Linked DNA regions of Bombyx mori. The protein of the gene in region 1 purifies or fractionates together with the protein of each later gene. This does not show direct contact. Links are inferred from orthologs where the notes say so. Each region holds a gene or a part of one and is shown in the gene's direction. Other genes may lie near its edges.

Region 1 (3,119 bases):
ATGGTCTAATAATTCTATGTTTTCTTGCTCTAAAAACTCTTTTGTTCAGTGCGCGGTGTGAGAACTCGCATTGTCGTGAGGGAGGATGATGCGGCGGTAGCAGTTCTCTTTACGGAGTTCAGAAACGACCTGTGGCAAACAAATGCTAGCATACCATTCTGTATTAACCATTCTTTGTCCCTCAAGAGGAATAGTCGTAACATGGCCTGTTTTGGAGACAAACGTGGCCACCATTTTTTTTGCAACACTCCGTGAACGAACAATTTTTGTTGGCTTTAACTCATTTTCGAACACCCAAACTCGTGACTGGTTTTTTGTTTCGGGTTCGTACGCGTATATCCAGGATTCGTCACCTGATACAATGTTGTATACAGCATTTGAGGATCCTGCGTGGAATCTTTCGAGAGTTCTGACGCACCAAGTAACGCGAGCCGCTTTTTGCTCTTCACAGAGCGAATGCGGTATCCATCGGGAAAACAACTTTTTTACACCTAATTGTTCATGCAAGATTATTTGTATTTGACTCATGCCAATGTCTAAAGTTGCCTGAATTTCGCGGTATGTCACATGTCGATCTTCCTCAATCAGCTTACGCACAGCATCAACGTTTTCTTGGGTGACTGCAGTTTTTGGACGACCTTGACGGGGATCATCACTGAGCTTGACACGTCCACGTTGAAACTCAGCAAACCAGCGATAAATTGTGGTTTTGGATGAGGCTTCATCACCAAATGCAGAAATCATCCGGTCAACACACTGTTTTTGTGTTAAACCACTTCGAAAGTCATAATAAATCATCGGTCTTGAATTTTCTCGAGTCAATTCCATTTTCTCAACGACTAAACAAGTTTGACAAAACCTCGTGACAAGACCGAGAATCTTTTTTTAAATAAATAAATGGTATTCGATTTTTAAAACTAAGGAGTTTTCAATTAAAAAGATTTTAATATGACAAGAAGTGGAAATATTCCATTCCCGATACTTTTAGTGCAGCCTAGTATTCTTTGTATTCGTTATATAAAGAGTTACAATAGGTGTAAGATATACCTTGTAAATAACAAAACATTTAAGTACAAGTTTCCCAATGTTTACGTCAAAACAATAAGTCAAAATTAACAAATAATAATAAAAAATACATTGAAACATGAAGATTCGTAAAAATAGGGGGCGCGCGGGCGCTTCATGGGTTTCGCACACAGGCGCTGGCGGGGGTCTGCGCGAGGCTGGCCGTCTGTGGCCTAATAGTGATTTGGTAATATTTGTAAACTATACACATAAAACTAAACACAGAATTATCATACCTATTCTATTGAAATAATATATCTTGTCTGATATCAGTGACCCACAGAAAATTTATGGCAACACTGGACTCGACTGTCAGACATTAAAAAATCAATTTGTCAAACAAATCCAATTTCATTTAGACGCTTGTGTTTTTCGCAACCCACGTGAAGAATCGCATCATATTGTGAAATACATAATAAGGGAAAAGGTTAAACGAAAAACCAAAATCATGGCGGTTCGCGTTCAATTTGAAAATAATAATGAAGTGGGAGTGTTCAGTAAATTAACAAACACATACTGCCTTGTCGCGATTGGAGGTTCGGAGAATTTTTACAGCGTGTTCGAAGCTGAATTAGCGGAGACCATCCCAGTGATACATGCGAGTGTTGGAGGCTGCCGAATCATCGGTAGAATGACCGTAGGGAACAAGAACGGTCTCTTAGTTCCATCTTCGACCACGGACACAGAATTACAACACATTAGAAACAGTCTGCCGGAGAACGTGAAATTACAACGCGTGGAGGAACGGCTTAGTGCCCTCGGTAACGTCATAGCCTGTAACGACTATGTAGCACTTGTACATCCTGACTTAGACAAAGACACAGAAGAAATATTAGCCGACACATTAAACGTGGAAGTATTCAGACAAACAATAGCGGGAAACGTACTTGTTGGTTCTTACACTGCATTGAGCAACCGAGGAGGGCTGGTACACCCGAAGACAAATATACAGGACCAGGATGAACTCTCTTCGCTACTCCAAGTGCCCTTAGTTGCCGGAACAGTTAACAGAGGCAGTGATGTCGTAGCTGCTGGAATGGTGGTCAACGATTGGTGTGCATTCTGCGGACTGGACACAACGTCAACTGAGATTTCTGTTATTGAGAGTGTTTTCAAATTAAATGATGCTAAACCGACTGCAATCACATCTACAATGAGAGCATCGCTCATTGACAGTATGTCATAACATTGAACTGTGAAATAAATCTTATGTTTAATAAATATTACATTATAAGTTCTGTGCTATTGTTTTGGATTACCAAAACTCAATTTGATTTACTTGTTTGTGAATACTGATAACACGATTTTGTACTTCTGTTGGACAGATTGCATAATGAGTACCAATGAGTCATTGACCTTGTTTAAAGATATTTAAAATAATAAATATTCATAAAAAAATGCTTTTTAGTAAAGTAGTTCTTCTGAATAATTATCATTTCATAGTTTATTATTAATGGCTTAGAGTTCTAGTACCTTGGCGCCTTGATACTACAACTCAGTAATAAATATAATATTTCTTTATTAATAATAATAAATATAATAATAGTAGTGTTAAAGAAAAAAAAACTAAAAATATTTGGTGCAGAAAGGGCTACTAGCTAAGGATACTACCTGCTCATCATTATATACTATGGCTCATAATCATCACAATTCATAATGAATGCCACACTGCATCTATTGCATGAATTACTATATTAATATCTAATCATTCTCAATCACCACCACTGTCTCTTAATCAATTGTAACCATTATTGGACTATGATTTCAGAGCAAAACAGTCACATTATGTATGTGTCAGTTGTATAGATATCACCATACTGTTTATTTTACTAGGAACCATGCACATTCTGAACTAAAGATGAGGGTAGGGCCTATAATTGACATTTGCCTTATGTCTCAAGGTACAAGAACTCTTTGTAATGTCTACGAGCGCCGATAACCAATCATGAGACAATTGACAATTGAAGAAAAATCTAAAGCTGCTGGATATTTGGTATAAGAACGACTTCATGCGCGCGCAGCACTAAATTTTTGAAATTTAATCAAGAAACATT
Region 2 (4,494 bases), on another chromosome or scaffold:
CCATCAACTTTCTCAATGATGTTATATTGATTTTCTCTTTGTTTCCACTTTCAGATTATCAAAACATCGTGGTCGTATTTTACGCTTTTATTGAATATTTACAAACAGTAAATAATTTCAGCACGAAAGCACAATATTCATAGTTACATTTCAATATATAATTTTCAAAATAAAAATAGATATTTTTTTTATTTCAATATGAGTATTTACTCTGTGTTTTCAAATAATTCAATATCAAATTTGGGTTACCAATAAAAAATACTGAATCCCATAAACATGACGAATTCAATCCCAGGATCACCTTGAGCCAAGAAGTCGACCAATTTCCATGCAATTAAATACATTAAAATTTATACAAGTAAACAACAGTATTGGCCTGTCCGACATAATTTGTAATTTTACAGTTATGTAAGACGTTTCTAAAACATTATTTAAATTGTTTAGGACGTAGGTAAACCTAGTTGAATCACAGTTGAATCTATTGACCTTCCATGATCTTAAAAATGGTGCTATTTTATTTCTGCATTGGGGGCATAACCTCCTACGAGAGGCGCGCGACGTATATGGGACTGGACGGTCCGTAGATATTAAGACAAGACTGCGGGCTCAAGATTGGTATATAAGGCCCTATTAACTTAGAGACTCCCCTGCACACTCGCCGAAGCGTCCGATCCCCCCGTTCGTGAAAGGCTGACGCAGGGCATGGAAGGGTCCCCAGTCCACCCTGCGTACGATCGCCGGGATCCACTCCAGTCTGCGACTCCGACACGACGACCGCACGACAGGATTTCACACTGGTTGGCGGGACAGCTTCCCGGGGCGGAGTTTAGTTGTGACACCTGTTAGTGGGTACATCCCTATTAAGAAGTGTGAGCTGTAGCACAACACTAGTATTTTTTTAATGTCAGTGGTTAGAAGAGTAGGTAGCATAAAAACACTATGGTCTCACGAAAATGTATAACAGTAAAAACAGTAGTGTCTTTAATAAATAATATTAATAAAAGGTTAGTTTCTCTCATCTGAGCATTTCTATATCCTTCAACACCCGGGTTCAGGTCCCCTACTGATCGGTGGACAGCGGCGAATACCGTTTCACTGGGTCTCCCTGTACCCCCGCCAACTTACCCCGTCACTTAGTAAGGTGGTTTAATAATTTGGTTATTCATTAATATATATATAAAATTTGCTCGAACAACAATATTTTCTTTTATTAATTTAACTAAATGTAGTTTTGTTTATTTTAAATGAAAACAACGCCTAAAAACGTAAATAACAGTTTATATTGCGTTTGCGTTTCGATATTTTTGGTCAAAAAATCTATCCAATGATTAATGGATCTCAGATCGCTTTCCTAGGCCGCCCGACCGCTCTCGTTAAATCACAAAGCTTAATACACTTAATGTCACCCAGCGACCTGTATACCTACCTATTTAGTGTTTCTTCAAGTTTAAATGTGTGATAACAGTGGTTTATGATGAATTGTTTAGTTATCTGTGAAAGTGCACAAATTTGGGAAAATAGAACAAAGCCGCTGGACGTAACTTCTCTGGGTCCTCCAAAAAGTCCTCTGGAAAATTTTCAGTAAATGGCTAGGCACCGTTTTACTGATATTATATTTCATTCCATTTCATTTAATTTCACTACTTATTTTTCATAAAAAAGATATATTATATTATAATAAAAGAATAAGCTGTATGGCATAATACTTTTGCCTTTCCAGTTGGATCAATAGAACTACTACTGTCATACAGCTAACAAAACCTTTCATTAAAAATAAGTGAATAAAAGTGCATTAATCTCATTTCATTTTCAACTTGTATAATATTTCTTTAATAACCTCCTCGTTTGTTTATTTTGCTAAAATGCCTAATAAAAAGAACAAGGAAATTGACACAAACAGCGAAAGCGAAAAGGAACAAGATTCAGGCAGCGAAAAAGATTCTGATTTTGATTCAGACGGCAACTATGTCGGTGAAAAAGTAAGCAAAACCATAACCTACAAAACACATGGCTCTTTGTTTCAATTAATCGTGTAATTAAATACAATCAACTAGATTATGTAAAATGGATAAATAAACTTAATGAAAATAAATGAGATTAGTACACAAATACTTTCTTGCAGATGCCCAGTAAACTTACAAATAAACTCAAATCATGTAATCACTATATTAAAGCATATGGCGTATTTTACTGCAGCATGTAACAGCAAAGCGGTTTCCAGTGACAAATGCTTTTCCCCACCCTTTTTCCAAACCAAATTGTGAAATTCAAAATTACTGAAAATTAAATTAAGATCGATGCCTCCAATGAACACTACTATAACTCCAAATTCGTAGGTTTACAAGAGGAGAGTTTAAACGAAAAAAGTTGATAAATATATCTGCAATAATAAAGATTTTATGGTTTTTTCTTGTGTAACTAGTTGATTTACTCTTGCTTCGAACCCCATTAATAATGAATATGTAATACTTTTAAAATAGTGAAGCGATTTGCGTGAAAAACGAAAATTTCAAAATTTTGAGTTAGAGTAGTGTTCATTGGAGGCATCGAGATATTCTTTTGCTATTTTCAGGAGCTACAGGCTGATTTCGAAGGACGTAACCCAGAAGATAGTGACTTCCACGGTATTAAGCAGCTACTGAGGCAACTGTTTCTGAAATCAAATGTTGACCTTGGAGGGCTAGCCCAAATTATTATATGTAAGACTTTTGTGACTTAATACAGAGCTTGTCAAATTACCAGAAAACTCTGTACCTATTCAATTCTAACCAAGAAAAAAAATTGCTTGTAAAATTTTAATTGTACTGGCTATAAAGTTTGAATTGTTTTTAAAAATAGTGAATAATCAATTGGATCATACAATTTATAATTTTACACTACTTTTTTTTGTCAGCACAAAATTACATAGGCAGTGTTGTGAAGCAATGTTTGGATGATGGTCAAGAGGATGACGATGATGAGGACGATGGTAGTGATGGAGTTTTTGGAGTAACTACAGTAGTGAATATTACTAAAAGAAAAGTAAGATTAATACAATGTTTTTATATTAAACATTTCAACTAACTTTAAAAAGTGATATTTACTCCTTAATAAAAGTTAATTTGAAATCAATTAAACAAATTTTTGTTGAGTTCCCAAACTATCAATATGTTTCAACTAAAATACCAATGAATAAAAAACTAACATGGGAAAAAAAACATTGAGAGGTAAAATGCTATTTGGTTTAAGCGACAATTTGCTTAATATGTGACATTTATATATATTTTTTTCCAAAGTTTAATCTCTAAATGGCTCTCCTGTAAAGTTGAAAAATGTCATTTAAACCAAATAGCCTTTCCTTATGTAGTGTACTTCTATTCTTTTGATATGTAAATATTCTTCTCTATATGTAGTGTTCTATCTAATTAATATAGTTCACTGACTATTTCAGAATGAACCCAGTGTGGCACAGATCAGAGAATTGCTTACAAAACTATCTCAGGAGAATGCAGATCCCAGAACCAAAGAATTAATTAAATATATTCTGGCTGATGATTCTCAGCATACTGGCCTAGTTATTAATGAAAGGTAAAAATTTTGGAGTATTCAGAATTTCATTGTTTTTTTTCTATAGACTAGATGATGACCGAGCTTTGCTCTTTTTTTTTTTTTATAATGCCATCTTGTTGTGTATTTAAAGCGGTTAGTTGCCCTCAATTAAGAAAAATAAGTTTGATTATCTGCCAATAGATGTGGGGAATAGTCATAAAGTTGATTATTGAAAACACGAATAAAAAAACATTTTCTGAAAATAAATCGTAGCTAGATCGATTTATCGCCCCCGAAATCCCCTGTATACTAAATTTTATGAAAATCGTTGTAGCCGTTTCCGAGATTCAGATTATATATATACAAGAATTGCTCGTTTAAAGGTATAAGATAAGGTAAGATATTTAATTCCCAAAACTTTTGATTCACTCAAGTGACTGTAACTATGAAGTGTCCCATGTTTTTTAGTTTTGAAAGCCATTACAATTAAGACTATCCTCATGTCCCATGATATAAGTAAGTTGTATATAGTATGATTTATTCTAATGCCTAACTACCTACACTGGGCAACCCACTAGCTTAACTGGCTGTATACAGATATATATGTATAAAATACTTATGTTTTATTTGTGTGAATATCTTATTGTCTCCAGAACTTCTGGAGAAATGGAGAAAATTATAATTGGGACTTTTAAAGTAGAAATGTTTAGTTTTTTTGCTACTTTTAAAAATAATTATTTTCTTTTCCAGAATACTAAACATTCCTGCAGCGATTAGCGTACCATTATTTGCATCACTACAGACTGAACTTGAGAAAGCTCATAGGAAAAATATGCTATACAACTTTAAATACCTTATTTGGATCAGTAAAACTTACACTACTGGAGGTTGGTTAGATTTTTCATTTTAGCACTCAAGACTAGCAACAAATTTTTTTTTATTGCTTAGTTCGGTGGACTAACTCAT

The links.
Region 2: the proteins of eukaryotic translation initiation factor 6 (region 1) and protein BCCIP homolog purify together in Homo sapiens (affinity purification with mass spectrometry; 3 studies listed by BioGRID and IntAct, counting the BioPlex papers as one, with this or other methods). This does not show direct contact. The link is inferred for Bombyx mori from reciprocal best matches to the Homo sapiens genes EIF6 and BCCIP.

The regions. Positions count from the first base shown.
Region 1 is NC_085114.1:15,903,258-15,906,376, reverse strand, and holds eukaryotic translation initiation factor 6, read left to right. Parts: upstream 1-1,447; 5' UTR 1,448-1,513; coding exon 1,514-2,251; 3' UTR 2,252-2,456; downstream 2,457-3,119. UniProt on the Homo sapiens protein: Binds to the 60S ribosomal subunit and prevents its association with the 40S ribosomal subunit to form the 80S initiation complex in the cytoplasm. Behaves as a stimulatory translation initiation factor downstream insulin/growth factors.
Region 2 is NC_085132.1:4,572,842-4,577,335, forward strand, and holds the start of protein BCCIP homolog, read left to right. Parts: upstream 1-1,401; 5' UTR 1,402-1,862; coding exon 1,863-1,979; intron 1,980-2,572; coding exon 2,573-2,699; intron 2,700-2,893; coding exon 2,894-3,021; intron 3,022-3,430; coding exon 3,431-3,567; intron 3,568-4,278; coding exon 4,279-4,415; intron 4,416-4,494. UniProt on the Homo sapiens protein: During interphase, required for microtubule organizing and anchoring activities. During mitosis, required for the organization and stabilization of the spindle pole.